Caenorhabditis elegans: one gene and its partner. The protein of the gene in region 2 purifies or fractionates together with the protein of the main gene of each other region. This does not show direct contact. Each region holds a gene or a part of one and is shown on either strand. Other genes may lie near its edges. The genes, in order: mlc-3 and myo-2.

What was found.
Region 1: the proteins of myo-2 (region 2) and mlc-3 purify together in Caenorhabditis elegans (affinity purification with mass spectrometry, with the first as the bait; one large-scale study listed by BioGRID). This does not show direct contact.

What each region holds. Positions count from the first base shown.
Region 1 is NC_003281.10:5,557,838-5,572,430, reverse strand, and holds mlc-3 (Myosin, essential light chain), read right to left. Parts: upstream 7,407-14,593; 5' UTR 7,300-7,406; coding exon 7,281-7,299; intron 7,111-7,280; coding exon 6,899-7,110; coding exon of another isoform or gene 6,857-6,898; exon of another isoform or gene 6,615-6,856; intron 5,758-6,614; coding exon 5,574-5,757; intron 5,520-5,573; coding exon 5,473-5,519; 3' UTR 5,424-5,472; downstream 1-5,423. Other genes in the region: nspb-12 (Nematode Specific Peptide family, group B), read left to right, coding at 3,682-3,695, 3,871-4,117; rpc-2 (DNA-directed RNA polymerase subunit beta), read right to left, coding at 7,752-7,925, 9,529-9,673, 10,192-10,750, 11,210-11,588, 11,860-12,054, 12,352-12,634, 12,684-12,773, 13,014-13,921 and 1 more.
Region 2 is NC_003284.9:12,462,621-12,480,839, forward strand, and holds myo-2 (Myosin-2), read left to right. Parts: upstream 1-5,440; 5' UTR 5,441-5,528; coding exon 5,529-5,591; intron 5,592-5,701; coding exon 5,702-5,830; intron 5,831-5,886; coding exon 5,887-6,027; intron 6,028-6,076; coding exon 6,077-6,551; intron 6,552-6,606; coding exon 6,607-6,788; intron 6,789-6,836; coding exon 6,837-6,996; intron 6,997-7,256; coding exon 7,257-8,548; intron 8,549-8,600; coding exon 8,601-11,137; intron 11,138-11,183; coding exon 11,184-11,334; intron 11,335-11,381; coding exon 11,382-11,672; intron 11,673-11,857; coding exon 11,858-12,139; intron 12,140-12,185; coding exon 12,186-12,326; 3' UTR 12,327-12,728; downstream 12,729-18,219. Other genes in the region: T18D3.5 (uncharacterized protein), read left to right, coding at 1,198-1,292, 1,408-1,516, 1,566-1,757; cdf-2 (Cation efflux protein cytoplasmic domain-containing protein), read right to left, coding at 2,149-2,322, 2,367-2,473, 2,785-2,890, 2,972-3,155, 3,426-3,579, 3,627-3,836, 3,904-4,016, 4,123-4,157; F45E6.1 (Serpentine Receptor, class Z), read right to left, coding at 13,039-13,302, 13,981-14,127, 14,172-14,262, 14,315-14,444, 14,489-14,636, 14,690-14,821.

The DNA of each region.
Region 1 (14,593 bases), on a different chromosome or scaffold from region 2:
TTTTTAATGGATTTTGAAAAAATATAGTATGAAACAAAAGTAAATCTGGTTAAATCTAGAAATAAATAAATAAAAACCTTAATTTTTAGAATTTTTTTCCTTTTAATTTGAAAATTGATGCTTTCATTTGGAAATATAAAAAATTCATAAATTAATTCATAAAACCTATTTAAAGCAAATAAAAAGAAACGATGAGGATTTCACAAAAATAGGAAAAACTCAGTTGAAAAGGGAAATACTAAAAAAAAACGAAATTATGAAGTCCGACAAACCCAGAACCCAAAAAATTTCCAGCAATCAAAAAATGTCCTACCGGCTCAAAATGGGCGGAGTCGTCACGTGGCATGTGCTCGTAAACACACCTGCCACACATGAAAGTTGACGAAAAGCTTTTAGACGGAATAAAAACGACACAAAAGTTCAAATGTTTTTACAACGAAGTATAAATGAGTTCCCGAAAGAGAAAAGAGCACACATTCCATTGTGCTCTCACCAAATTACTGTTATAAAAAACGAGAAAAGATGAGGATGAAGCCGGAACAAATTGACAAGCTTGTTGTGTTCCAAACAACTTAAGAGGGTCCTTTGGAATGTCTGAATAATGGGTGAAAAACGGAAGAAAAATGAGAGAAAAGGAGAATAATGTGAGAATATCAAAAAAATAATGAAGTGATTCATGGTAAATAAATGAAAGATTGAGCATTCTTTTTTGCTCATTTTTCACAGAAAATGCACGTATTCAGAGGTTCAAGTGAAGACAATGAAAAGAAAAATCACGGTAACCTACAGATGGGGTTCAGAACTAATAGAGAACATATGTTCTTTTTGAGAAAGCAGGCGTAGGTGGTTATGTAGACAACAAAATTGGTTTTTTGTACCTTTCTGGAACATATACAGTCTGTAAAAATTTTGGTCAACAATTACCAATTACCAAAAATTACCAAAAAAATTACAGCAAAACGGACTCAAACTTCTAACGAATGGGCACAATGAGAAACAAAGTTTACAAAATAAATTAGGTCAACTCAAAATTGAGCAAACTTTTGAAATATGTTGCCACAAGCATTGAGCAACTGGAATTTCCAGAAACCAAACAAGATGTTATTGAAAAATTCGAAAAATGAAATATAGACTTTCAATCGGACGAGTGGGATTACTTTTCTCTCTTGTATGTGAAAATGAAAAATTGGTTGGATTAAAATATGGTTACTACGTCCTAAGAAAAGGAAGACGAGCAGGGATTATAGAAGCCCACTGCCTACATGCCAAAAGAATGGGTGTTTATGTCCCATTTTTTTGTGTGACTATTACTTGGCTTGAAATCTCTGTTAGTGACATGTTTTTCCAGCAATGTCCCCTCGTCCTCTTCCCCGTGTCCCATGGGGACTCGCCGAGCACGGCGGTTCGTGAACAGTGAGGAGCAGCAGTGATTGATATCCTACATGATCTTGTCACCTGACAGAAACATTGCTCCTGACCTAGATTATTACAAATATCATGGGAAAAACGATGAAAATGGGGAAGATTGACACGAGAGTAGATGATAGTTAAAAAGGGCAAAGTTGCAAGTTCACTTTTCTGAAATTAGAATTTGTGAGGTTTGCGGAAAAAAAATGAAATTTCAAAACGTTCACAGGATCTTGTTAACTTTATCGATTTCTACGGTTGCGGAAATTTTAGGTTGCCAAAAAATATTGAAATCGCAAGTTGCTGGCGTATTGTCTAAACCTTGCAGCTCGGCAATGCTCGGAAATTTACCAAAGAAAATTGTTTCTTCAGTATAGTTGTTTTAAGTATTGCAGATTGTCGAAAAGTTTCCACACTTCCACTTTTGAAATTTTTGCGATCGGAAATTTTTGAACGTGTCTGGTGCCAAAAATATTTTATGCTTAAATCTTAATGTTGTGGACGGAACGTAAACCTGAACTTTATACAGACGTGACCTTTGGGTCATCATGAACTTATCGCGTAAGCGACCTCTCTTTATAATTCATTACTTCTTACACTCTCTTGTAATAAACTTCTTCTCTCCTTGTCACTCGCTCAATACACAACAGTCGCTCAATACACAACACTTAACTTTTAAGTGAAAGACAACAACCGAACGGTTTTAAAAATATAAATCTTTGATTTTATGTTCTCTGAAAATTTGCTAGCGTTCTTAAACATTTCAATAAATAAAGAAATTTTGTAAATTTTGCCGCTCTGTCAAAATATGAACCTACCCGTTCTGTGAAACCTTCCTGTCAAGTTTTTTGAGCTTTTTGTAACATTAAGCTCACGGAGCAAGTCAATGACCATGATCTGGTCACCTGACTCTAAAAGTTGCAAGCACACTTTGGCGGCAACCAATAATAATATGGGTTGACTTGGTAAGTCAAGACGTGAGATGGAAGGGTTCTGAATTGATATTGACAAATAAAAGTTCTGTGAATGAATCGAATAATTCTTTGGAAATTTTTTTTAGATCGGTTATTGTAATTTTTATGAATATCACTTTGGTACGGCAAAAATATTACCGGAGTATTATTTTTTTTTATTTCAACGTCTTCTAATTTCTAAAACAAGTGTTTTATAATAAAATAAGTGTTTTATATTTTTAATTGGAATCGCAGAAAATGGGAATTTATTTTAATCAAAAATAACTATAATTATTTCTGATTGAGAGGGTAAAATTACCCAACTGAACACAATCATTTCCATAAATAACATTAAATCTTTTGTTTTGGTCTCACAACTGTGGAAGTACTTAAATAGTTCCCACATTAAGCATTGAATGCTATAAATGCTCAAGGCAGCCAACATCCATTCATTTGTTTATAAAATCATGTTCCTTCTTAGAATCCACGGGAATCTCGTTTTTTCTTGTTTTTGGGCAATTGGAAAAGATGAAAATAAACGAAGGGGATTTGTGAAAGAAAGCGTTGCATTTTTTCTCAAAACTTTGATTATGCCAAAAAAAATAATTTTTGAGGAGATGCAATTTCTGAAATTTCTGTAACGTTTTAGAGCAAATTATTTTAATTGACGTACAGAGTCCTAACTTTTATCTTGAAAAATTGGGAGCAAAATTAAACAATTTTAAATTAAAATTTTATTAAAAAATTTTTAAAGGATTCTGAAGATTGGAACATTATTGGTCGCGATATTTGAAAAAAAAACACATTTTTGAAATATTTTCAGGTTCCAGACCAACATTCTAGTTTTTTAGTTTTTGGATTAATAACTTTGAAGAAAAATTCGAATGAAGTAGTTTTTTTTTAATTCAATACTCGTTCACTATGAATTTTCAAAAATTATTGTGTAAACTGTTTCTGGGAGATCGAACTTTTTTAAAAATTTTTTACTTTGGTTTTCAAAGATCTTCCAGTGGTACACCCAAAAATTGGCCCTTTTCTACTTTATGACACCATAAATCATCCAATAACTAGTTTATTACATTATTTGTATATATTAGTAACAAAACGTTTGCGTACTTTTTTTAGAAGTTTCTCCCGCCAAAGACTTCCCGCATGTGTCAACTACTTGAGTAAATATAGAAGCTCTTTGTGCAAGAAGATTTCCATAAAGAAATAATGAAAATAACTGGTTATGTACAAGTTTTTGTAAAGGTTTGGTAGAGTATAAAACGTAGAATATCGGAAAGTTCAATACTGACATTTCAAGTCACTTCAATTCAATATGTTCGCCAAGTGGTAAGTCATCTTTTTTAAGTTAGGCTTAGAAAGGCTAAGGCATAGGCTGAGTCTTAGACTTAGGTTAATGCTCAAGAAGCTTATTTTAGGTTTAGACGTAAGATTGATGTAAACCTTAAGCAGAATACCTAGAAATAGGCTTCAACTAAAATCAGGCCTAAAATTCAAATTCCAGCTTCGTCGCCGTCCTTCTCTGCGCCATGATCGTCGGATCCCATCAACAATACGTTGTCCCATCCTACTCGGCCGCCTATGTTCCATCTGCCTACGCCTACCCATCAGTTTATTCTCCATACGTAGCCGCTGCAGCCTATCCATCAGTCTGGGCTTGGGGATCAAACAAGAATAAGGATGATGCTGCTCCACGTGCATTTGCTCGTCCATCTGCTCTTCTTAACAATCAGAAGCCAACCACCGCTTGAATTGTCGGAAATCGAAATTACGAACGTTTTTATGTAAATCTTGCAAATCAATCGATCTGAAACTGCTTTTTTCAAAAAAATTAATAAAATTGTATCATTGCAAATTAATGGTGTTTGTTTCATTTTTGGAATACCTAACAAAAATTCAATAGCTCTCAGTTTTTGAACTAGAAATGCAATTTTTTGCAAAACTGTTTTCAGCTTCTAAAAGTATTATATTTTCTTTAATTTTCTTGATCAACTAGTTTGAAACTTTGATTTTGAAATTTTTTGTAGGGGGAAGAGTAAATGATGATTTTCAAGTTTGAGTAGGCTTTACTAGTTTTCTACACTAATGGCATTAACTTCTTAGCAACTATTCAGTAAACAAGCAGAACATTCAAAAATAAATAATTTTACTCTTTGATGATAATATTTTTGAAACTCTGGCAGCTTCTATACGAAAAAGTTGGCAAAATTTGATATTTAAGCTATTTTTAGCCCTTCTTCTTAAAATTTTTAACCGTCATAAAAAATTTTGGACAGAATTCCAAGAGTTTCATTTCATTACAAAAATCAATATTTTGGGTCTTTAGTATATTTAAGTGGACAGTTTCGCTACTCTAACTTCAATTTGAAAGCTTTTAAGGTGAAATTGTTTCTTTTCACCAATTTTTAGGATTGAGTGATATTTTTTGAAAAACTATATTTAGGTGGTGATACAATAAAAAATAGTTGTCAGCTAACAATATATACGAAAAATTGTTTAAATAATTTGGCAATTTCTTATTTTTTGGAAGCTACCGTTCTTGCACAGTAGACGGAAAATAAATCAATTGATAAAAATCAAACTGGCAGTTTGTTTTTATCAGGTCATCGACTCAAAAGCTGATATTTCTAGCAGCCTTTCAACTTACTACATGTACTATACCAAAATTTCCATTTCATAATTATTCAAAAGGTTTTTTATTATAATCCAAAAAGGAGAACGAATATAAGAAACGAATGAATTTCTGAATAAAAAAGTGTAAAATGAAGAAAGAAAGAAAATTTCTTGATCATAGAAACAGGCTTGAATGTGTTGGAGAAAAAGAAGAGAAAACCGCGCGCTGATTTTTAAAGTGCAAAACGTTTTCTGGATCAGAAAACGGAATGCGCGCACGCGAGTGGAATCTCTTACGTGTATAGCGTAGAAGAAAACGAGCGACTAGACGATGGGTTTATAGACAAAAAAGTAAAACATCGTTATTTGGAACGGGGAGAAAGAAGGCAGAGAAGGGAAAGGGGAGCAAAAAATTTGGGTAAGAGAAGATGGTGTTTTTTTTTTCAAAATTTAAACATTATAATGGGTGTAGCACAGATTCAGATCCAAAAATTTAGTCCTGGTCTGGGAATGGTCCGGCCAAAACCTTCTTGATGAAATCTGAAATAAATTTCAATTAAAAAAAATTTCCGAGAAGAAAAAAAATCGGCTTACCCTCGTACTTGACCATGCCTTCTCCGTCTTCGACTCCCTTGAGGAGCTCATCGGCCTCATCGGCGGAAAGTCTCTCACCGAGAGCCAAGAGGATGTGTCTGAGCTCAGCGGCCAAGATCTTTCCAGTCTCCTCCTTGTCGAACACCTTGAGTCCCTCGTAGAAGTCAGCGTAGGTTCCTTGCTCCTGAAGAAATTGGAAATTTATATTGGAAAGAACAATTTTCTCAGTTTATAATCTCAATGTTAAATGAATGATGATCTGCTCTACATGCGGACCCTAAGGTAGGCATCTAACTCCAGTAAACATAAATCATTCCCTATTCAGGTGACAGTAACCTCGAACATCAGCTAATTCCATCCCGAAGCTCCAGAGAACTCTCTGATTTTCGCTTAGGATTCTATCCAAAATTCGTTAGACACTGACTTTCAGATTGTCAAATTTGAGTAGATATGTGCTCAGGTAAACTTCGCAGACTATTTAATAACGAAAGCGAAATGTGTTTCCCAAAATATCTGGCCAAACTTGCTATTTCAAACTTTATGAGTTGTCCAGTCTTCTGAGCTCAGTTCGTAGGTTTCTATTGGCTCTTCAAGATCTCCATGTGCTGTTTTGAATCTTTTCTAAGAAACTGGTTGCCTTAAAGCTTTCAAAATACTGACGGTTGTGGGTCCAGAGAATGCCCTAGTTGAATTCAATCAAAGATCTACAGGATTTTTTACCTTAAACCTCCACTAAATAGTCTGAGCTGGCAGCTCTTTCCAAAACTCAATAGCTCCTAGAAGCTTCATATATACTCACTCCATTCTTTTACCCGTATATGGGGATCCTTACTCAAGATCCCTTGCCTATTCCTTACTACTTCCTATCCATACAAATATCTACAACAAGGACCCAGTAGACGCAGAATGATGATGCTCTCTATTGTTACACTGTGCCTATGTGTGTGTTTGTGTGTGCCAAGAGAGATTCTCGAGAGTCCTATGTGCTCCTCTCCCACACATGCTTCACGGGAGCCGCCGCCGCCTATCTCTCTAAAGTTCTAGGGATCGGCTGGCATGTGCCGGTGGAAGAGGATGTTCAGATTTTTCAGACCCTTAGTTGTGATTTAAAAGTTTTCGGCTAGGGGTACTGTATGGGGTTAACCTCTGAGATCCAATATTTACTTAGACCTTGAAATAAAACAAATCTCAAGCTTCATCTTCTTTGTTTGATTATCACTCGGTGCGGGAGTTAAAGGTTTGGCGCGAGGCCCCTAGATCCCTAAATCTCAAAAAACTCTCAGCTAAAGGTTAAAGGCACAGGCAAGATGTTTAAAATACCGTACCTTCTCCTTGGCGAGTTGCTCGTACATCGGGAGCCACTCCTCGAATGTAAGTCTCTTCTCTCCCTTACGCTTGAACTCCTGTCCGGCGGCCTTTGTCACCATAGCCTGAGTTGGCTTAAGTCCGGCGGCGCGGGCGACATCTCCGACTTGGGTTCCGTCGATCTTGCCGTCAAGCTCCTCATCGTAGAGGTTGAAGATCTCCTTGAGCACGTCTAGAACGATTTCAAGTTTGAAAAAATGTTTGGGATTGTAGGGATATATTTGGGGAATTGGATATATTTTTGAAACATTAAAAAAAAACTAAAAATAAAATGTTTTAGAAGTCCTAAAACCTTATAAGGTATCCCTAAGAGCTGGGGACATTGCTTAAAAAATTACTCACCTTGGGATGGTGGAGCCATTATGTGATGATGTGTGAGTGTTGCAGCGGCGGCAGAGCAGGGGGGACTGAGTGTGGAAACTGAGTGAAGGCGACAGAGCAGTGGCAACCCAAGTGTAAACTGTGTGTGACTCTTCGTAGAGGATGGGGGCGGATTGGGGCGGATATTGAGCTCCCGCACTCCCGCGCGAGTACACTATTTCACCCCTCGGGAGCCCGAGAGATAGAGAGAGGGATGTAATGCTCAAGAGATAGAGTGGCGAGATGTGGGATGTGAGAGCGAGAAAGCGCGGCGTACTGTTTCAACAAGTATTTTCTAGAAAATTTTCATGATAAGTTTAAGAATGAATGTATGACAAAAAAAACAACAAAAAATGTTCAAATTTCGGGGAACAAGTAAAAAATAGATTAAAAAATGATTTGGGAAGGGGAAAGAAGAAGCATAACAACAACAACAACAATTACAAAACAAGGTTATTCGGTGTATCTGGCCAAGTCCAGCCTCGGGACAATGTTCATGGATTGAAGTTCCTGGAAGAGCAGCTTACACGCATACGGAATCTTAATGTTCGCCATTGACTTGCTCGAACGACACTTTTGGCACCAACCCTTCGAGCCGATTACTCCGCATCCAGTGCACACGTCGACCTGGAAAACAAGAAATTTATTAAGTTACATTGGAAATCTATTATACTCTCATCGAATCGTTTTTTTATACAAACTGAGTTTTAAGGAGTACCAAATTATCCTATAAAATATTTAAGCATGCGTCTTTTAACTTTTTTATGTTAAAAATCCATACTTGTGTTTTTTAATATCGACACATTATTATAAGGCTCAACAAGTATCCATTACTTTTGCATTAAAACGCTTGCCTGCCTGACCTTAAGGCAACCTCCGCCTGCCTCTCGCCTCAGTCCGCGAATTCTGCTAAACCATTTTGTTTCTCTGTTTACGGAATAGGTCTACAGTACCCCAATGCTCGAAATGTTAATTTATTTTATTTCCTCCCTCTTCAATAATTAATAAGATCTTTGTGTTTTAACACATCTTCACAAGTTCATTTTTCCCGTGTTGGCTGCCGAACTCGATTAATTCGTTGTAAACGTATGTTTCTCTATTCTCCCTTTCAATATCTTTATTTTCTTTCTCTATCCTCCCCGCGTGCCACTTCAATCGCACATTTTCTCGGCATTCCACTCCTAGGAGCACAGCCGACGGGAAGAAAAAGCACAGGCACCCACTGTGGAGATATCTCTTCCTTCTTATTCCTCCTTCTTCTGTTCTCTCTTCTGCCAATGCTTTTACTCAATGACGAGAGATGCGGAGATCAGTGGAGTCCACAGACTTCGGGGTGGAAGATATAGTGAAATGGCAATCAAGGAGAGATCAGCGAGACATCTCTCCACGAAGATCACACTATTCACCAGGCATCTCGCATCGGGGCAAAAATCTCATCTTTTCTTCTTCTTCTTCGATGACTATTTTGTGGGCAAAAAAAAACGAAAAGTAGGAAGGAAGAAGCGAATCAAGACGAGAGCTCCGAAGGTTTCCTGGAGGGATCTTAATGTGAGGTTCACTTCCAAGTCTTTAGATCTCTGATTCTTGTTTGCCACCTGGGACAGGTGCAGAAAATATTATTTTCGGTACGACTGTACTAAGAAAAGGCGGTTTTAGTAAAAAATGTTCTCAAAAACTCCGAAATATCGCTGAATTGTGAGAGATTTTTTTTATTTGGGAATGGATCTTGCTCGAATAGCACCGAAAATTTGATTTTTTTTAACTTCCGAGCAACAGAGATTCAGAGCCATTAAAATAGAAAGTTTTGCTTTTTTTAAAAAGTTTTTAGGGAAAATGCTTTTTTTAAAATCGATTTCTCTGTTCTTATAAAAAAGTGGGAGTTCAAAAAAAAATTAATAATCGGTTTCCGACCTTTTTTTTCGATATTTTCAGATAAAAGTCGGGAAATGTATTCTCTCATGATCAAACAAAATCCATAATTTTCTCTGCGGTAAATCAAAAATTTTCAAGAACCTTTCCAAAAAACGTCAACCCAGTTTCCAAGAAAAGTCGACCCGCAAAGTCAACCCACGCAAGGCTTCTCCCAGTCTCTCCCGCAACAGTTTCGCTCCTCATTTTCGCAAAAAAGAACCACTTGAGAGTGTTACGGCTAGTGTAATGATGAGCAAAAATTGCGCGCACACACACAAAAGTAGCAAACTTTTAAAAAAAACTCGGTAAGGGAATTTACCTTAAACTCATCTGATGACACCATCAAACGCTCAATAAGCAGCATCGATGCTCCATAGGCAATGAGACAATCACGTTCCATTTCTCCAAGACGTAGACCTCCTTCTCGTGATCTTCCTTCTGTTGGCTGGCGAGTCAATGCGGCTCTGAAAATTTATAGATTTTTAAAAGAAACTCTGAGAATAAATTGAAAAAAATTTTTAAAAAAAGTTTTTTTTTTAATTTAAAAAATGTGAGAAAAATTAAAATGGTTTTTTTTGTTCCAAAATATGCATAACATTTCCGCGAATTGGATTTGAAAAAAATGTATTTCCACTATGAAAAATTGATTCTTTTTTCCCCTAATTTCCTAAGCTTCGAGCATTTTGTCAATTCCTTTTTCAGAACTTTTTCAATTTGGCTTTTTTCGAAATTTTAACCATGATAAAAATAAGTGAATTTTGATTGATACCAAATTTTCTAATTAAAAAAATGTTGCAATTCCTCATTGTTTTACATCAAAAGTTTTAAAGGAAAGTTGGAAAATGCAGAGTTAACTGTTCTAAAAATTTTTCTTTTTCAGATTTTGTTGCTAAACTTAATTTTTAAATATTTAATTGAAAATTCTTTCCAAAATTCAGAATTTCCAGACAAGACATTATCTAAATTCAAAATCTCTCCACACCTCGGTCCTCTGGCACGGGCGTGCATCTTATCCAAAACCATATGCTTGAGCTTCTGATAATAGATTGGTCCAAAGTAGATATAAGCAGATAATGGTTGTCCAGTAATTCCACTTGTCAGCATATCTTTTCCCATATAATTATAACCACAAGCAGCCAATTCTTCACAGACATCTTTAACCTGATCTCCACCAAATGCTGTTCCATAATGATATGTTCCATTCACTACTCCAGCTTTTCCAGATAACAATTCCATTAATTTTCCGACAGTCATTCGAGATGGATATCCATGAGGATTCATAATCATATCTGGCACCATTCCAAGATCATTAAATGGCATATCTTCCTGTTGAGCAATCAATCCGCATACTCCTTTTTGTCCGTGTCGAGATGAGAATTTATCTCCAAGTTCTGGCCGACGGGTTTGTCGAAGAAGAACTTTGAATAAATGAGCTTCATCTTCATTATAGGTAAGAAGAACTCGTTCCGCATATGATGGAGTTGGAGTTTTATACGTGATCGAGACGTCTTTGTAGTCAACTTGGCGTCCAGCGATTCCGACTGAAAATTTAAAGAATTGTTAGTGAACGTTTTTTTTTTTACTTTTTCAGAGTTTTATATTTAAATTTTCGTTTTAAATTAAATTAATTGAATATTTGAACGGAATAAATGTCAAGTTTTATTTAATTGTGAACGTAAAAAAGTTAGAAAATTTATATTCGCAAAAAAGAACGGAGACAGTTTCTTTGAGTTTTTTTTTAAAACATTTGTTTAATTGGTAAAAATTAAAAAATGCTATAAATACTTCAGATTTTTTGGAAAAAGTTTTAAAACAGGGTTTCTGTTGAAAACTCGCTTTCATTTTTACGAGGTTGGTCTGGGAATTGTTTATTATTCTTTTTTTTTTATATTTTTCGTGTTTTTTTTCGTAAAACTTTTAAAAAAATAGATGTCTTCTCGAAACTGTACATTCCGTTTTTATTTTCCTTATACAAATTCGTCATGCTCATTTCAACATACTTGTATTGGCAGAAGCCGACGCTCCAGGACCACTTTCTCCACTGACAACTGGCATGTGCTTATTGATAATCGTCTGTTTCGGCATAATACGTGCTCCGGCGAATACAATACCCTCTTGATCGAGATTTTTGTGCTTGAAAATTGGTTTTCTCGTGTTCGGATCCAATGCTGGTCCTAGAAGACGATCGAATGTCTGATTCGGATATTTTTTGGCGGTTCCCTTCACATGTTTGTAGACCAGACAACGACCATAACCACGATCCAGTGAAGCTTTATTGAGCACAAGAGCATCTTCGATATCGTAACCACTGTATGACATCACTGCGATGATTCCATTCGCGCCGGCCGGCAGTTTTTCAAAGTTTGTCAGTTCGATTGTCTGGAAAATTGTGATGTAAAAAGTTTGAACAATTGATAATTTTCTAAAAGAAAAACAAATTAAAAATTTCTGAATAGAATAATTGATTAGAAAGATATAGCGGATACTTCCGATTTGATTTTTTTATTTTTCGGAATTCAGGAAATTGATTTATTTTTATTTTCAGGATTATTAACGATATCTCTCCACAAACATTAGTTCAATAAATGAAACATGCATTTTTTAATCAAATTTTTTTCATAAATTTTAAAATATTTCAATTTTAACGAACCTTTGACTTAACGAGTGGTCTCTGTGGATAACATAAAAGATACATAATTGAATCAATTCTTTTCTGTTGATTATAGGCAATTGTTCCCATTGCTTGTTTACCCATAGCACATTGATAAGTATTACGTGGAGATTGATTATGATGTGGATATGGAATAAGACCAGCACACACTCCAAGAAGAGTAAATGGCTCAATCTGGAAATTTTGAAAGATTATTAATAGCTCAGACACTGAAAAGTGCAAATTTTATTTTAAACTAAGGATAAAAATCTTTAAATGTTGGAATTTCCTTGAATTATAGAATTTTAGAGCTCTAAATAATTTGATTTTCAATTTTTTATATTTAAAAAAATGAGAATTTAAACTTTTTTCACATAGTTTTAAGTTTCAGACAAATTTTACCAAATTTTTTGAATTTTCTTTACAGGAAAGAACAACCAGTTTTCGATTTAATTTTTTTCATTTTTAGATTCACAAAGTTCAAAAACGTACCTCCAAATGTGTAGTTTCTGGGCCAATTTCTCTCCCATAAACGGCAATCAACGCATCGTTCATCTCATTTACATCCAAATATTCGACAATTCCGTCATCAACAAAATCCTCAAAAATCATTTTTCCCTCTTTCAGTTCCTGCACGTGAGCCTGTGTGAGCATTGGAGTTCCGTTTTTGACAATAATATATGGTCGACACAGGCGGCCACCGTCTGATGAAATGAAAACAGAACGATTGGTTAGAGAACGGGATACTGAAACAAATTCTGACAGGAGTCCACTTCTGAAATTGAAATTCGATGAATTTTTTGGCAACATTTTTTTGTTGAAACCTTCTCAAATCTCTGACGGCTTTCACCACTCTTTCTGGATCCACAGCTGTTCCAATGAGCACTCCGTTTAAGAAGATCAACGTGTTTTCACTGAAAATTTTCGATAAAAATAACCTTTTTTTTAGGAAAAAACACAAAAAAATGGATCTAGTAATTTTCAAAAATTGTCAAACCTTAACTCGATTTGAAATCTAATTTTTATGAAATTGATAATTTATTTTAGAAATTTATAAAAATTGATTAAAATATGCGATTTTTTCAAAACTAGCATTCTCAAAACTTTTATTTTTCAAGATTTCACACTTAAAATTTTAATTTGTAAAAACTCACGGCTTATTGACATGCGAGAAATGCACATTATGTAAATCCTCGACTCCCGAATTGAGTAACAATCTGAGAACGGGTTTCTCATCGGAATCAGTTGTAATGTGACTAATCAAAGCGAGATTCTTCACAAGACCACAAGCTTCACCTTCAGGAGTATCACTCGGACAAAGCATTCCCCATTGAGATGGTTGAAGGGATCGAGGACCAGAGACTTTTCGAGTTTTCTCAAAAGTCGAGTTGATTCTTGTCATCATACCAAGTGCTGAGATATATGACAATCTACTTAGTACTTGTGTAACACCAAGTCGTTCCATTCGGAATCTTTTGATAATCCAATTTCCTGTCGACATAGCATTCACTATAGTATTCGTAATCATATCTTGTCTCATATGCTTCACAATATCCAATGGTGCAGCCATTGTCTTCATCAACGCATTGTCTGCAATTCTTTTCAGTTCAGAGTTGAATCTTTTGAATACATCCTCAAACAGCAACGAAAGCAATGATCCAGCGAGCTCCAAACGTTTATTTCCGTAGAAATCCCGATCATCAAGCCCATTTTCTCCGAGTTCCGTTTGAATCAGTCGTCTTGTCATTAATCCCAAATAAATCGCCTTCATTTTGAAATTTCCATCTGGGCAAGCAATATGTGTGATCATTGAATTGGACAGAAAATCGACTGCTTCGTGTTCTTTCGGTGGAGTCAAGACGCTCACTGAAGTTCCTGGAAGTGATCCGAATGGTGTGAATTTACGAGCCTTGACTTTTGAGGTAACATATGCGAGTGCCTGCTGTTGGGTATAAACTCCGGCATTTATGGATTCTTCGAGAGTTTGAGCAAATGCTGAAACGTACTTCTCCTCGTGACCGATTGTACTCACAATGTCAAAATCTGATTCGACTCCCATCGCCTGGAAAATTGAAACTTTGAAAAGGAAGCGGTTTTTAGTTTTTGTTTTAACATAATGCTACACTTTTTTTAAAATTTTCCCTATTTTTTGTAATAATTTTCTTGAATTAAAAAAAGCGAACTCGAATTTTGGAAAAAAAAATCTGAAAAACTCCAGATTCGATAATAAATGTTTTTGAGGAATTTCGATTGAAAATATCGTAAAATGTTCAGTTTCTCACAATCAGAAAGAAAGAAAGCTTCATTATTTTTTATTCTAAAACATTTTTTGAGAATATTTTTTGCATCAAAATTTGGAAAAATATTTTTCGGAGAATGTTTTTGTATTGGATGTTTTTTTTTTTAAATAAAATATTTAGGAATGAATGCCGAACATTTTTTTTTTCAGTTGTCATCAAAATTCTCAAAATTTACCTTGAAAATGATGGAAACTGGTACATCATCGGTGAGCTGATTGTGGCGAACAGAATATTTACCCTTCTTCATAGTCACATATGTCTTACTTTTCCTCTCGGACGTCGACGAAAGTACTTCACACTGCAGTTCTTTACTTGAATTTCTTCCAACCATAATACGATTTTTGGAGAGTTGTTCTTGAATCAGGATAACCTTTTCACTTCCTTTGACCACAAAATAACCTCCTGGATCATATGGGCATTCTTGAACTCTTGCA
Region 2 (18,219 bases):
CCTATTTGGTTACAATCCAGGATGCCATTTTGCAGTACGTATACTTCAATTCTTATAGTCACACAGACAAAAATTGGCATTTACACGGGCGCACAACAACAAGAGCAATCACAATAATTTGTGGACAAACACAAAATGTTGTACGAGCGGGGACGGTAGCGGACAATAAAGACAGAATGTTCAAAACTGACCGGAAGCTGACCAAACTGGATACACAGTTTTAGTATTGATTGGGATGGAAACTGATATTTTGTTATTCAATACAGCGGAAAATAGTGTAGGAGTCAAATTGGTGATAACTCGAAAACAATCGCAGAAGATGTGTGAAGAGGCGTGGCGAGCACCTACCGTAGGAATAAGGGGCTCAGTGAAGGTAACAACGTCATCTGCCAATCATGAAGTTTCTGAAATAAATTATTTCTAAATTTTACACATTGATTGATTAGAAATTATTAGACTTAACAATCGGAGGTGGTTTTTTTCCCGAAACTTGACATCACCAAACATTTCATAGACTACAACTTTGCACAATAAACTTTAATACCAACGTTTTTGAACATATCAGTTATTCTGATTTTTTATATATTTTTACGTGAACATATTTTTTGTCGGTAGTTTTATTTCACTAAATGCCAACAAGATAGTGACGACAACTTGGAAAATCATATTTATTTTTTGATTTAAATCTACAAAAATGTCAAATTTTAAAAATACTTCGAAACTGTTGGGAGACTTCTGGCAGTAATCAAAAAAAATTTAGCACACTGACAAGAAGGGCATCTAAGGTGTGGAATCAAATAAGCTAGTTTAAAATTATTTTTTTATTGCAATTTCGTTTTGAGTACTGTAAAAATTGTTATAAATAAATTTTGCATTTCAAAATATTTGTCAACTTCTGTTTACATCTTTCTGATTGAAAGTTAATATTCTTCAGCCAATATTGACAACCCTGAAGTAAGTTTTTTTAAGTTTACCAATTACTTTATCAATTAAAAAAAGTGCTTTACCGCATATTTTTGAAAGTTTGTATTCCATCTTTCGAAGTTCTATTTATTATAGCCTATAAAAATTAACAGCTTAACTTCAGTTGCCTATCAGTTATTTTCTTCAACAAATAAACAGTCAGAGACTATTTGCGGAAATGTCAAAATGGCGAAAGCTCAGCATTGTCCACATATCCTCGGTAGTTGATTTGAAATGAGAAAATTGTGCAATTGTCTCACCTGCCTGCTTATTATAATAATCCTTTCAATTACACTGGCTAACGCTCAAGATGAGCAGCACTCCCCTAGGTAATTCATTACATAAAATGTAATACATTTATACATTTAACTTTTCGTCAATGTTCTTTTGAACCAATATGTTCATAATTGTTTTCGAATAAATAAATTTTTGAATCTGTTCCAGAGAAAACGAAGCATCTCGTGACAACTCCGACGTTTGGCTCGTTGTAATTCTGTGTCTTTTATTCTGCTTCGCATTACGTCATATGAACGACTTTTACGTCGGTGAATCGGTTTGTTGAATCACTTTGTATCATCGAAAATTTCAACTCATATTTTCAGGTCACGTTGGTTGCAGAGGGAGAATTTTCTCATCGGTTCAGTCGGAAACAAACTAATAAACATTTGGAACGTGTTGAAAAAGACTTCAATGACATGTTCCAGAAACTTTGCGAGAAATATGAAAGAGATCTGGATTCAGATGGATGCTGCGATTATTATGAGGAAAACAAACCTTCCGAGAAAATTCCTTGAATATTTGATTTTGTTTTTTTTTAGTTTTTAGTTGGGAACGTTAATAAATAGTGTTGTTCTAAGGGAATTTGTTTTGTTAAAAGAACATGTGCAGTTTTTGTTTTACGTCTAATATATAGCTACAAAATGTTTTGAATTTTGAAAATTTGAAATAATTTAAAAACGTTGGATCATTAGTTTTCAAAAATCTAAAAGGTTATGATCTGAAAATAAAATTTAAGCAATTCTGGAATGAATGAAACAGGAATGAATGAACAAGAATATCTTTTGTGCTGTTATTGGTTTTATCAGGGAGTCGAAACATTTTTTTTTCAAACAAAAATTGACAACAAATACATAAATAAAATTCAAAAATCTCATTCAATAATAAAATGTAATCACATAACCCTCCTTATTTTGTTGGGAAATCGCACTTTCCGCAATCCGACCTATTTGCTCCAAACTCCTCAATTTGAATTGTAATCTCATGTACATTATACGTTTGTTTCAACATTTTTCGAGTTTCGCGTAGAATTGACTGAGATTGACTATTGGCGTCAATTTCCAAGTGTACGGAGAGTGCAATCTGGAAAACAATTTGGGTTAATCCGCTTTGAGTGTCATGTCTACCTTGTCCATCGTCAAACTCCAAATTCTCAAGTCATGAACCTTTTTAACACCTTCTATATCTTCAAGGGACGAAAATACTTTCGCAAAGTCAATGTTGCTAGGTCTACCTGAAAATTTTAAAAGTTATGGAAATCAGCGAGAATTTTGGGAATTCAAAAAAGTTAGATAATATTATAAACTGAATTTTTGAAAATAAAACAATTTTGTTTTTTTTGTTCCCGCCTTTCGAAAATTTTGAAAATTTTGCAAGGAAAGAGTAATCTGCTTAATTTGAATGAAAAACAGGTTTTTGTCAAAACTGCTGAAATCTCAAGGCAATAAAATTTTTAAAATTATTTTTTTTTTCAATAAAAAAACATTATTTTGATACTCCGCTAAAAAGCTAGAAATGTTGTTGCCACTGAAACGTATCACTGACCTTCCAATAAAACAATCATAGCATCTCTCAATATGTAGATAGTGGTGCATAGCACAATAACCGAGAAAACAAGTGTACAAATTGGATCAATAATAACCCAAGACGGCTGAAACAGTGATCCATTGTGTTTGAAAAATTACAGAACATTTGATAAGACGTCATTGTTTGCCGAGAAAAAAACACTCACCTGGAAATAGATAAAAAGGGCAGCAACAAGAACGCCCAAACTTTGTAAAAGGTCTCCCAGAACGTGAATAAAAGCTGCTCGGACGTTGATGTTATCGCCGTTGCCACCACCATGAGAGTGACCATGAGAGCTTCCGCCTCCGTGAGAATGTGAATGACCACCAAAGTACAACAATGCAAGCATGCTTAAATTTTGATTTTGAATATCAATTAAGATACATATGTCACATTAGATTTGTTTCGAACTCAAAAAAATTTCTTTGAAAACCGTAAGTCCGTGACAGCCTAATTTTTAGTTAAAAGAAAATAACATGGACAGACATTTTTCTGACATGTCAACATTCCTGGGGCTCCCACCCGGATAAAAGTTCATGCCAAATATCGATTTCAAATCGAAGTAAAAAAGTGTATACCAGTTAATAAAGCTATCAGACTCGTTTCATAAAAACACTTACACCAAGTTTACAACCACTCCAAGAGCGGCTGTCAAAGCCATAATTCCTCCTTCTACTTCATAATCTCCGCTGACAATTCTCATAATTGCGAGAACAACTAATACTCCAGTGACTATCCAAATAAGGAAAACTGAGAAAAATGCTCCCAAAACTTCTGAAATTCATTTCAAACTATGTCGCTCAATTCTTCCAACTACCCACCGGCTCTATGAAACCCAAAGCTCATTTTTTGCGATGGTGGCCGTCTTGCAATGTACAGAGAAAACAGCGAAATGAGCACTGACGCAAAATCAGTGAGCAAGTGTGCGGCATCTGTGACAATTGCGAGTGAGCCCGCGAGAACACCACCAATAACTTCGCAAACCATAAAAAATAGGCAGAGCACGACGGTGAGCCATAAAATTCGCGTTGCTGAAACAAATAGTTTGAAGAAGGTTTCATTAGGACTCGAGTTTGGCAGAAATTTTAAAAGCAATACCTCTCCGATTGCTATCATGTGAATCTGTTGAGTCAGCTTCATCGTGGCAATGAAAGTTATCATAGGTGACTGTGGTTTTTCTACCTTCGTCTGTATTATAAATGTGAGGAACTCTGTAATACAAAAAGATCTCATGTTTTTTCTTTGGTAATACGTCATAGAAGCACAGGAAATCACAACTCTGATATAAACGAACATCAACTACATCACAAAACTAACCCATTTTCAAGTAGTGGTGCTCGTTCAGAAATCATTATGGATTATGGAGAAAAGGAAACCGATTAGGCCAATCGATTTTGTTTTGATAGAATTGAAGACGCAGAATAATTGTGTTGTGTATAGTGTACGAGAAAATGGAGCAACTTGTATATGGGCACTGTTATCATTATTGAATAGCGTGCGGAGGTTTAGAGAAGGAAGTTGTGTGTTATCAATCATAAACTAGAACATGTCTCGAGGCATTTGAATTGGGGGTGGTGGACAGTAACTGTCTGTAATAATAATTACTCCTGACCAGGTTGCAATTCGAGTTTTGATAAGCATAATTATACCTTGTACATTGTGGGTTTTGTGCTGTGGACGTTTTATTGTGACATCCCCATAAGCTACAAGAACAAAAATGAAATGTAAAAGTATTGAAAACGTCGTACATTTTATATCTGAGTAGTATCCTTTGCTTTAAATGTCCATAAAACTAATTTTATAATCAATAAAACAACGTTTGTAAATCAACTGAGTTTACAAGTAGAGACATTGAGGGATACTTTCACTATGCTAAAGTGATAATCGACCAAATAATAACTTCACTTTGGTATTTATTCCTGTCTTATAAATGTTATGTATGAATTAAATTCATATGCATATGGCTCACTCTGACAATTTTTAATAATCTTCCAGATCAATATTGACTACCGATGCGGGTGGTCTTTTGCTTTGAATTCTGCTGAACTTTACACCCCGAACAGCAATGTGTGCTTCAGCCTAAAAAAAAGTAAGTGTGTTAATCAGTGCCCCCGATTCTTCATTTTTTGCCCCTCTCTCCCGTTTCGTCGGCAAAAGAAGAGAAAATAAAGATAAGTCTCAAGATAGGTTGGTAATCGCTAAAGTGGTTGTGTGGATAAGAGTAGCAAAATGGCAGGAAGAGCACTTTGCGCGCACACACTGTACTCATTGTTCTGGATAAAATTCTCTCGTTGTTTGCCGTCGGATGTCTGCCTCTCTGCATTGAGCCGGCTTCTTCACTATCTTTAGTTAACCTAAAATGCCGTTTCTTTTCTCGTATCCCCACTATCCCGTTGAGGTTCTCTGCTCTCTTCGCTCCCTACCGCCAGCGAGCAACTATCCGTGGGGGCGCCTTGCTCGGAAGATGGGGGGGAAGAAAGAAGATTTTTGCTATTTGCACTTGAGAAAGAGACTTTTCCTGCGTCGATGGTTAGAGAACAGTGTGCAGACACTTTTCAGCTACCTAGAATTACAATTGGATATCCCCGCCTCCCAATCCACCCACCCAGGGAAAAAGAAGGGCTCGCCGAAAATCAAAGTTATCTCCAGGCTCGCGCATCCCACCGAGCGGTTGACTTCTCTCCACCACTTTTCATTTTAACCCTCGATCGTCAGACACAGAAATGGATTACGAAAACGACCCAGGATGGAAGTACCTTCGCCGCAGTCGCGAGGAGATGCTCCAGGTACTTTTATAAAGCATGGTTTTTTTGTCTAAAGAATGTTATAAGCTTGCTTAGTTTAAAAAAAAAAATCATCTTTATAAATTTTCACTTTTTTACTTCCATTTTTAAAGGATCAATCCCGCGCATATGACTCCAAGAAGAACGTCTGGATCCCAGATTCGGAAGACGGATACATTGAGGGTGTCATCACTAAAACCGCTGGAGATAATGTAACTGTGTCCATTGGACAGGGAGCCGAGGTAAGTGAATTTTAAAACCACTTATTTGTCAATTATTATGTTGCTTTTTTCTGTAGAAGACTGTCAAAAAGGATGTTGTCCAAGAGATGAATCCACCAAAATTCGAGAAAACCGAAGACATGTCTAACCTGACTTTCCTTAACGATGCTTCCGTATTGTACAACTTGAAAGCTCGTTATGCTGCTATGCTCATCTATGTAAGAACTTTGTTGTTATAGTTTTATGATTTAACATATTTTCTTTTAGACTTATTCGGGTCTTTTCTGTGTTGTCATCAACCCATACAAACGTCTCCCAATTTATACCGATTCCGTTGCCCGCATGTTCATGGGCAAGCGCCGTACCGAAATGCCACCTCACTTGTTCGCCGTCTCTGACGAAGCCTACAGAAACATGCTTCAAAACCACGAAAACCAGTCTATGCTCATTACCGGAGAATCTGGTGCAGGAAAGACTGAGAACACAAAAAAGGTTATCTCTTACTTTGCCGCTGTCGGTGCTGCTCAACAAGAGACCTTCGGAGCCAAGAAGGCCGCCACCGAAGAAGACAAGAACAAGAAGAAAGTCACACTTGAGGACCAGATTGTCCAAACCAATCCAGTTCTCGAGGCTTTCGGTAATGCCAAGACTGTCCGTAACAATAACTCCTCCCGTTTCGGAAAGTTCATCCGTATTCACTTCTCCAAGCAAGGACGTGTCGCTTCTTGCGATATTGAACATTGTAAGTTTGAAATCATTTCGAATGTTTGACCTGTATATATTTAAAAATTTTCCAGATCTTCTTGAAAAGTCACGTGTGATCCGTCAAGCTCCAGGAGAGCGTTGTTACCACATTTTCTACCAAGTCTTCTCCGATTACTTGCCAAACCTTAAAAAGGACCTCCTTCTTAACAAGCCAGTCAAGGACTACTGGTTCATCGCTCAAGCTGAGTTGATCATTGATGGTATCAATGACAAGGTAATACTGATCAAAACATGACGAAATGCAGATATTGTTTTCTTGTAGGAAGAGCATCAGTTGACCGATGAGGCCTTTGATATCCTCAAGTTTACCCCAACTGAAAAGATGGAGTGCTACCGATTGGTTGCCGCCATGATGCACATGGGTAACATGAAGTTCAAGCAACGTCCACGTGAAGAGCAGGCCGAGCCAGATGGCACAGATGGTAAGTTAGAAACGGGAAGCAGTAGATTTTTGGATTCTTGGAAACTTTCCTTCTATTTACTTAAGATCTCATGAGAGCGTGGGATGAGCGGGACAGGCATATAGAGTGGATTTAGCGGCGGGGTTTAAAGTTTACCTACTCATCCCCATCGACTCTTCACTTTTTGCCTATGACAATGATTTTAAAAAAATGTTTCAAAATTCCAACACTACATAGGATAACATAACATAGCATACGTTATTATCACAAATTCTTTGCAGATGCTGAAAGAGCCGCTAAGTGCTTCGGAATTGACTCGGAGGAGTTCTTGAAGGCTTTGACTCGTCCACGTGTCAAGGTCGGAAACGAATGGGTGAACAAGGGACAGAACATCGAGCAGGTCAACTGGGCCGTCGGAGCTATGGCTAAGGGACTCTACTCCAGAATCTTCAACTGGCTCGTCAAGAAATGTAACCAAACTCTTGATCAGAAGGGAATCTCTCGTGATCACTTCATCGGTGTGCTTGATATTGCCGGATTCGAAATCTTCGACTTCAACTCTTTCGAACAGCTTTGGATTAACTTCGTAAATGAGAAGCTTCAACAATTCTTCAACCATCACATGTTCGTTCTTGAACAAGAAGAGTACGCTCGTGAAGGTATCCAGTGGACCTTCATCGATTTCGGTCTCGATTTGCAAGCCTGTATTGAACTCATTGAGAAGCCACTTGGTATCATTGCTATGCTTGATGAAGAATGCATCGTTCCAAAGGCTACTGATTTGACCTTAGCCCAAAAGCTTATTGATCAACATTTGGGCAAGCATCCAAACTTCGAGAAGCCAAAACCACCAAAGGGAAAACAAGCCGAGGCTCACTTTGCCATGCGGCACTACGCTGGAACTGTCCGTTACAACTGCTTGAACTGGCTTGAGAAGAACAAGGATCCTCTTAACGACACCGTTGTCACCGTTATGAAGGCTTCCAAGGAGCACGCTCTTATTGTTGAGGTCTGGCAAGATTACACCACCCAGGAAGAGGCCGCTGCCGCTGCCGCCAAGGGAACTGCTGGTGCAAAGAAGAAGGGAAAGTCTGGATCGTTCATGACTGTTTCTATGCTCTACAGAGAATCTCTCAACAAGTTGATGACTATGCTTCACTCTACTCACCCACATTTCATCCGTTGTATTATTCCAAACGAGAAGAAGGCTTCAGGAGTTATTGATGCCGGACTTGTGCTTAATCAGCTCACCTGTAACGGAGTGTTGGAAGGAATCAGAATTTGCAGAAAGGGATTCCCCAACAGAACCCTCCATCCAGACTTTGTTCAGCGTTACGCTCTTCTTGCTGCCGATGAGTCTATCATTGGAAAGACTGATGCCAAAAAGGGATCCGCTCTTATGCTTGCTCGTTTGGTCAAAGAGAAGAAGCTCGAAGAAGAGAACTTTAGAGTTGGTCTCACCAAGGTCTTCTTCAAGGCCGGAATTGTCGCCCACTTGGAAGACTTGCGTGACCAGAGCCTTGCTCAACTCATCACCGGACTTCAAGCTCAAATCCGTTGGTACTACCAAACAGTATGTCTATTTAATAATACAAAAATGTTCAAATAATGATTTTTTATTACAGATTGAGCGCAAGCGCCGTGTTGAAAAGATCACAGCTCTTAAGATCATTCAAAGAAACATTCGCAGCTGGGCTGAGCTCCGCACCTGGGTGTGGTTCAAGCTTTACGGCAAAGTCAAGCCACTCGTTAACTCTGGAAAGATCGAAGCTCAATATGAGAAGCTTCAAGAGACTGTAGCTACTCTTAAGGACACTGTGGTGCAAGAGGAGGAGAAGAAGCGCCAACTCCAAGAGGGTGCGGAACGTCTCAACAAAGAGACGGCTGACCTCTTGGCGCAATTGGAGGCTAGCAAGGGAAGCACCCGCGAAGTTGAGGAAAGAATGACCGCCATGAATGAGCAGAAGGTTGCCCTCGAAGGAAAGCTTGCCGATGCCAGCAAGAAGCTCGAAGTTGAAGAAGCTCGTGCCGTTGAAATCAACAAGCAAAAGAAGCTTGTCGAGGCCGAATGCGCTGACTTGAAGAAGAACTGCCAAGATGTTGACCTCTCATTGAGAAAGGTTGAGGCCGAGAAGAATGCCAAGGAGCACCAGATTCGTGCTCTTCAAGATGAAATGAGACAACAGGACGAGAACATCTCTAAGCTTAACAAGGAGCGCAAGAACCAAGAAGAGCAGAACAAGAAACTCACCGAGGATCTCCAAGCTGCTGAGGAACAAAACTTGGCAGCCAACAAGCTCAAGGCTAAACTCATGCAATCTCTTGAAGACTCCGAGCAGACCATGGAGCGCGAGAAGAGAAACCGTGCTGATATGGACAAGAATAAGAGAAAGGCCGAAGGAGAGCTCAAGATTGCTCAAGAAACCTTGGAAGAGCTCAACAAGTCAAAGAGCGATGCCGAAAATGCTTTGAGACGCAAGGAAACCGAATTGCACACCTTGGGAATGAAACTCGAAGACGAGCAAGCTGCTGTTGCTAAACTCCAAAAGGGAATTCAGCAAGACGAGGCTAGAGTCAAGGATCTTCATGATCAACTTGCCGATGAGAAGGATGCTCGCCAACGTGCTGATCGCTCGAGAGCCGACCAACAGGCTGAGTACGATGAGCTCACCGAGCAACTCGAAGACCAAGCCCGTGCCACCGCTGCCCAAATTGAGCTCGGAAAAAAGAAGGATGCTGAGCTTACCAAGCTCCGTCGTGATCTTGAAGAGTCTGGACTTAAATTCGGAGAGCAACTCACTGTTCTCAAGAAGAAGGGATCAGATGCTATTCAAGAGCTTTCCGATCAAATCGAGCAACTTCAAAAGCAAAAGGGAAGAATTGAGAAGGAGAAAGGACATATGCAACGCGAGTTCGATGAGTCCTCTGCTGCTCTTGACCAAGAAGCCAAGCTCCGCGCTGACCAGGAGAGAATTGCCAAGGGATACGAGGTCAGACTTCTTGAGCTTCGTCTCAAGGCTGACGAACAATCCCGCCAGCTTCAAGATTTCGTCTCCTCAAAGGGACGCCTCAACTCCGAGAACTCCGATTTGGCCCGCCAAGTCGAAGAATTGGAGGCCAAGATCCAAGCTGCCAACCGCCTCAAACTCCAATTCTCCAACGAATTGGATCATGCCAAGAGACAGGCCGAGGAGGAATCCCGCGAGAGACAAAATCTTTCCAATTTGTCGAAGAACTTGGCTCGTGAGCTTGAACAGCTCAAGGAATCCATCGAAGACGAAGTCGCTGGAAAGAACGAGGCTTCTCGTCAACTTTCCAAGGCTTCCGTTGAACTCGATCAATGGAGAACTAAGTTCGAGACCGAGGGACTCATTGGAGCCGACGAGTTCGATGAGGTCAAGAAACGCCAAAACCAGAAGACTTCGGAGATCCAAGATGCTCTTGATGCCTGCAACGCCAAGATTGTCGCACTCGAGAATGCTCGCAGCCGCTTGACAGCTGAAGCTGATGCCAACCGTCTGGAGGCTGAGCACCATGCCCAAGCTGTCTCTTCATTGGAGAAGAAGCAAAAGGCATTTGATAAGGTTATTGATGAATGGAAGAAGAAGGTCGATGACCTCTACCTCGAGTTGGACGGAGCTCAACGCGATGCTCGTCAACTTTCCGGAGAAGCTCACAAACTCCGTGGACAGCACGATACCTTGGCTGATCAAGTTGAAGGACTTCGTCGCGAGAACAAATCTCTCAGCGACGAGACCCGTGACCTCACCGAATCACTTTCCGAGGGAGGACGTGCTACCCACGCTCTCTCCAAGAACCTTCGTCGTTTGGAAATGGAGAAGGAAGAACTTCAACGTGGATTGGACGAGGCTGAAGCTGCCCTCGAATCTGAGGAAAGCAAGGCTCTCCGTTGCCAGATCGAGGTTTCCCAAATCCGTGCTGAAATTGAGAAGAGAATCGCCGAGAAGGAGGAGGAATTCGAGAACCACCGCAAGGTTCACCAACAAACCATCGACAGCATCCAAGCTACTTTGGACTCCGAGACCAAGGCCAAGTCAGAGCTTTTCCGTGTCAAGAAGAAGTTGGAAGCCGATATCAACGAGCTGGAGATCGCCCTCGACCATGCGAACAAAGCGAACGAAGATGCCCAGAAGAATATCAGGTAATTTATAAGTTTTTTTTTTGTGTACACCAACTTTTTCATTCAGACGCTACTTGGACCAAATCCGCGAGCTTCAACAAACCGTGGATGAGGAACAAAAGAGACGCGAAGAATTCCGTGAGCACCTTTTGGCTGCCGAGAGAAAACTCGCTGTTGCCAAACAGGAGCAAGAAGAGCTTATTGTTAAGCTTGAGGCTGTAAGAATTTTGTTTCGGAAAATCCCCTTGTATGTGATTTTTTTCAGCTTGAGCGTGCCCGTCGTGTTGTCGAAAGCTCGGTGAAGGAACATCAAGAGCATAACAACGAACTCAACTCCCAAAATGTTGCCCTCGCTGCTGCCAAGAGCCAACTCGACAACGAAATTGCCCTTCTCAACAGCGACATCGCTGAGGCCCACACTGAACTTTCCGCATCCGAAGACCGTGGACGTCGTGCTGCCAGCGACGCCGCCAAACTTGCTGAGGACCTCCGCCACGAGCAAGAGCAATCTCAACAACTTGAGAGATTCAAGAAACAACTTGAAAGCGCTGTCAAGGTATGTTCGCTTTAAGAATTCGCAGTTTTTTGGCCGTTCAGTGTAAAAGCGATATTTGTTTGTTTTAGAGTGTGCATCTTTTCCCACCGTCGCAACTACTTATCCTTTTGCGCGTCACAGATTTAAAGATTGTGTAAATAGAAAAAAAACGATCAGTTATATCTTTCATCCAATCCATCTTACAGGATCTCCAAGAGCGTGCCGACGCCGCTGAGGCAGCTGTCATGAAGGGAGGAGCCAAGGCAATCCAGAAGGCTGAGCAACGTCTGAAAGCCTTCCAGAGTGACTTGGAAACCGAGAGCCGTCGCGCCGGAGAAGCATCCAAGACCCTTGCTCGTGCTGACCGCAAGGTCCGCGAGTTCGAGTTCCAGGTTGCTGAGGACAAGAAGAACTACGATAAGCTCCAAGAATTAGTTGAGAAACTCACAGCCAAGCTCAAGCTCCAGAAGAAGCAACTCGAGGAAGCTGTATGTTTCATAGTCGATAAAATTTCAATTGTAAATATTATTTCAGGAGGAGCAAGCTAACAGCCATCTTAGCAAGTACAGAACCGTCCAACTTTCCCTTGAAACCGCTGAAGAGAGAGCCGATTCCGCTGAGCAATGTCTTGTCAGAATCCGAAGCCGAACACGCGCCAACGCCGAGCAAAAGTAGATCAACTGCTCTAATTCCATCTCGTTTCTCTCTTTTCTTTCAATCTCTTTACCCGTTTCTCTTCCCCTACGTCCCCCAAACCTACCACTGCACAGTAACACATACACATTCAACGTGTCACAATAAAAGCCCATCAACACCTTCTCTGTTGTTTTTTTTCTTCAAATGCATTTTTTTCACTTTGTTTAATAATTTTTACGCATCGGATTTGTAGGATAGTGGAAATTTGTCCTTCAATGCTTCAATTGATTCGACACTTCTCAATATTTTTGATCAATAAACCATTGATTTTCTATTTAGAAGAAGATCACTGTAAATAACACCAAAAACATCACAGCAAAAAAACTCCCACTCAATTATATTACTGTTTTTATTGAAACTAGAATAAATTTGAAAATCTTCAAAGCATACACAATTAAAAAAAACGAAAAAAGAAAAAGTCCCGTTGATTCTCAAACTTAAATTTTTAAACTTGTCTGAACCATGTTGTAAGTTTGTAAAAGTTTCCCAGTTGTCCTCGAACAGTTAACCAGGGAGATCCTGTCAGCTAGTTTAATATTATTTTCAGCTTTGAAACTAACGTTTCGTGTCACAAGAATATCAAAAAATAAACTTTATTAAAAATATCTAATAATGGTTGAACCACATATTTTACAAGAAAAATTCAAACATATTTACACTTTGTGATTTTAATGCGTTCATAAAAAAAATATCAAATCCTTGTTGGCACCATACTGACAACATGAGACATTGTTGCAGGAGACCTTTCCGCTGTATAAACTTCTCCTCCAATAATTCGTGTGCCGCGTTGACATGTTAAGATAGCAACAGCCACTTTTCGTTTGTTGAGACTACCAATGATCAAAAATATAGGTGTCATGAATGATATAGAAAACGTCATGAACGACTGGAATGTGATGAGATTGATGTTCGTTTGTCCACTTGTCAACACATAAAACTTTGCAACTGTGAAGACCTGCAAATTTAGCATTTGTTTGTGTTGCCTGGTTTAGTTTCTAATCTATCACAGTGCGTGTCTGATTTAGAAATGAACTCAGTTTCAGCTGCAGACTACGACACAATCACAAACTGAGCAACATTTTGATAACTATCTGGAAATAGAAAACAGTTTTTAGAGCTAGTAAAAAAATTGAAATTGGCATAAGTTTTCTCTAATAAAGCAGGTAAAACTATAATTCAAGTCGAGTGTAAACCTATAAAAAATGCGGACTGTTTTTCTAAAGTCAAAGGTATATTGAAGAGAACCTAACAAAAAACTGTAAATTATTTAAAAAAAATTGTAAAAACACAATAAAACTTTCAGATTTCTAAACGTTTGATGTCATTGTTAATGAAACAAATTTGAAATTTGATAGAGCGCATTTTTAAATAAAATATGAAATGAGCATCTCGTATGTACAAAGAACACCTTCCATTTATTGACTTTAATTAATTTTTCAACATTGCAGAAATTATGAATTTAGCTAAGGCAAAGCCCTAAGAAAAAACAAAGCAGGTTTCTGGACGAACAATTCCGCAACATTTTTTGGCCATTAGAAAGATAATTTTCAGCATGATAAAAAACATTCCTCTTCTAGGTATCATAATTATGCACGTCAAAACATAAATTGCTCGGTAAGACTAAAAAACTGACCATTAGTAAAATAGCAATTGGCACTGTTTGCAGCAATACAGTAACGTGCGCAGACATCCCCGATCTGGATCTTTTATCGATGTGGCGTATTATTATGATGCTCAGCAAAAGCATAATAAGAGACAAAACCATCGTGATCATCTCAAGCTAAAAACTATCATAGTATTCAGAGTATATCGAAAAATTCTCACCCATGGAATCTTGTTTGAAGCAAATATTTTGTTAATTGCAGAAATGATTGCAACAAAGTACAACATTGTCATGTTGAATGTCAATCTGGCTCTGCAAAGTTTAGATATGTTAAATTTTTTTGACATGTTTCATCAGTAATTACCCCGTCATCAGCTTTCTTCCGAGTTTTTCAATAGTAAGAAGCATGAATCTTTGCATGGAGGAAATGAAGATAAGGTAGTAAAATATTGTTGCAACAATTAGAGATCCATGAATTAGTAAATTTGTGAACACTGTAAACAATTTCTGTACATTTAAATTTATAACTTTAGCTTACGCTTGTATAAAAAACGAATCCATTCAGATTTTCCAGTGAACCCGTCGGTTACTCTTATTATCAAAAGTATCATCAAAACTATAAACGATCCAACAATGTGAACAGAGCTTAATGTCACCAGATTGAAATGAATCGCATAATATGATCTCTAAAAGTGCACCTTATTAAAAATGTACTAACGCAGAATAATGCTAAACTCACTTTGTCGTCAGTCCTTTTTGTCATGTAGTACAACCAGACGACTAAAACAAATGGTACAACACCAATACATGAAACTGTGAAATCTAATTCATGCTCAGCATCTTGCTGAGCACTTGAGTTGCTAGAACTCATATCCAAGAGTGATTAAACTACCAAGGGAGTGTAAGAACCACAAATGTTTTGTGATTGTCAAATATCAGATTGCAATTTTGGAGCAAAGACTTGATCAGCCTGTTACGTTTCAAAGCCTTGTTCAAATACATCTACTTATTCTAGATTTCACCTGTCCCGTTTTGTAAGGACATTTGACGTAGTAAGTTAAAAGGTTATTGAAAATTAATGCTAGTGCATAAAAATATCTAATGAACATATTGATAGCAAGGCAATGCAAAAACGCGAAGGTTCTAATTACCGAAATTCAGAAAGGTCCTGAACAATGAAGACAGACATTCTTTCATACATTTTTATTTGCGTTGGTGCAATAGAAATATCAGAACATGCTCTTTGCATTTAATGTTTTCTGTCAAACGGATAAAAATTATTAAAAAAAAAAATCTCGCCAATGCAACATTTTGAAGAGAATCTAAGTGAAACCAAAATAAGAAGTGATAATCGAAACTATGTTTGTTTCTAATGCACAGTCTTAACCAAAAAACACATTTTCATGTAAAAAAAAACTATAATTCGCAAACCGTTTTAAAGTGATATGAAGTTTTGAACTTGGAGTTTTTGAAACATGACGATTTGTTCGAATCAGCATGGAAGGCTTTCAACTAAATTAAAAAGTGATATAAAGAGCAACAAAAATTTTTATTCCACGGCAATGTTAGATTCAATTGATTGTTTAAAACTGCCTTTTTGCCAACCTATCGGTTGCAACTGTTGGATATAAACTTTTTCGAATATTCTAGTATTTTGTCAGCCGTTAAAAAATGCGTTTTAGAAGTTGAAAACCAATACTTGAAACAAAAACTAATGTAACTAAAACTCTGCAAAAGCTTCTAGAAAACTAAAATAACGTTCATTTTTGACATGGAATTGGAATTATAACATATCTAATTAGAGAGCCGTTACCAGAGATATTAGATTTTTTAAAATGCTAAACATATGAGTGCATTTTTTCAATAAAGCTTTAGACCGATTTTGCCGGAAATTGACTTCTACGATAGATACACATATTACTAGTTTAATCTATTATATTCAACAGTTGTTCAAATTTGTTTGCGTCCCCCCGTTTTCCTGCTTTATTTTCTTTCTCGTTTGCACTAACAATATGAATTGTATGCCCTGTTTCATATGTTATAAATACCCTGTTATGATGAATACACTTGCTGATAACAATAAAATTAACAACGTTACTCTTTAAATATTAACAGAGGAGAGGGTATTCGATAACAAGCACTTTATGTTTCAGGTAGTATCAGAATTGTCCTTTCACGTGTTTTCTATAATGATAGGACGGTTTTATGAAAATATTTTTTAAAAGTATAACCAATTGTTTTCCAGTTTAAGTTTAAATTTTGAGCAACATTCATTTTTCAAAATAATTTTTTCACTTAAAATATTTTTTTAATAGTGAAAACGATGAAGATTTTACAAATGTTTTTCCCCTAAAAAAGGGAAGACATTTTTTTCACAGCAACTCGCGTTATATCCTTCAAGTACTTTTTTTTATTTTTTAACATTTTATTGTAGTAGCTTCACCAGTTATATTATTCCATAGCATCATGTTTAATCACTTTTTATGGTTGAAGCTTCTGAATTTGAAAGGTCATCACTAGCTTTCAATTTAATTTTTTTTATTTCACAAAGCATCGCCCACTTTCCACCCCACACAATTTATTTTATGAATCGCTGCTTGGATTGCCCAAAAGCACACACAAGTGCACATTGGTCCTCGTACATAATTCAATGCCATAGTAACACACTTAGCATCCCCCGGCCGTTCTCGACGACGATTAGTGTAGTCCTAGCCAAAAAGTGTTCACTTGCACTTTTATTTTATTCAAATGAAGTGCGGTTCCATTTGGTGCTACTATGCTACACGTCACGTCGTTTTTTTTCCACTCGTTCTTTTTGTGTATACTAATGCAAAGTGTTTGTTTTTCACTGCGGGGTAAATTTAATCAACAGAGGTTCATATTTCTTGTGTATTGTTTATAAGATCATTCTTGTTGATACTTTTACTTTTGGAACAGTTTTGACAAGAAATGTTAGCTTTTATGTACTAACAAATCAAAGTGTGATGTGAAGAAATACCAGAACTTTCAAAGCCACTTGCAAGAGTATACACAATAAAAGTTTTCGTCGTCGATATTATTTGAAAGTGTTCCTTTCTTGGAAAAAAATTTCTCATGATTTGCTTTTTATTGGTTTGGTTTTCTAGAAGACATTGTTTAATATTTGAAGAAAATTGTCGGAAAAAATACTTGGGGTTCACTAAAAAGTTATTTTTCAAAGTATTTAGAGATTTCTTATTAGTGTAGTTGCGCGGTTATCGAATTTTGTATTTGAAAATTAAATTGTATACATACAAACATTGCAATATCGCCTACCTTACTACCGTACTAATTTTCCATCAAATTGTAGGGGTGTAAGATTAATATAAATTGCAAGAATTATTTTTGTGAAACTGATTTGACGCCAACTAAAAATATGAATGTTTTTCCATTAGGAATTTCAATGGCCATTTTAACTTCGAAAATTGACTTTACCCTAAAAACAAAAAAGTTTACAAAACAAATATTCCACAAAGTATTGCTCGCCTGTCAACAAGTCAATGCTAAACTATTAGGAAACCCAATATTTTCTCTAATACAACTACAGTCACAGGACAATCTATTATATTGTAGAATTTTCTCTGCATATTATTGAAATTTAAAACTTAAATTTGGTTTGGTCTTTTTTTCAAACCCAGTGGATGTTCGTCTGTTGAGCTTTAGAAAAGAAGGCAAACAGTATTAGTCAATGACTGATAAAATTATGCACAACCGAAATAAAAACTAAAGACAAGTAGAGAAAATACAGTATATCATTTTTTTTTCTATGAATTTTTGCTTTAATTAGTGGTTTCTTTATTTGGTTTATAAAATAAGATCGTAAAGTAATATAGCCGCTATCCCTTCCCCGTTTATTACCTTACTACTATACTTTTAGTGACCCACTTTCCATTTTTTGTCCGTCTTCCATTTTCGCTTGCCCACTCCTCTTCCTCCGCAACAAAAATTCTGCGACAGAACAAACACTGCGAGAGCGCCACCTCGTCCTCATCTACTGTGGTGGCCTTCTCACTGTCACTGTGCCGGGGACTCTTTTTCTCTGACTCTGCCCCCCCCCCCCTTGCCTCTCCGGTCGTTTGACCGGCGTACTGGCAGTGTGCCAGCCGGGGTCGTGTGCAAACGCGCTCCGTTGATATTTCATTGGATGCTATCCTTAATCGTCTTGCCCTCCTTTTTTCATGGTCACTTCTTTCATCTACCTGATTTTCGTTTCTTGCTATTGAGATATATCTAAGATTTTTTTTTTAATCT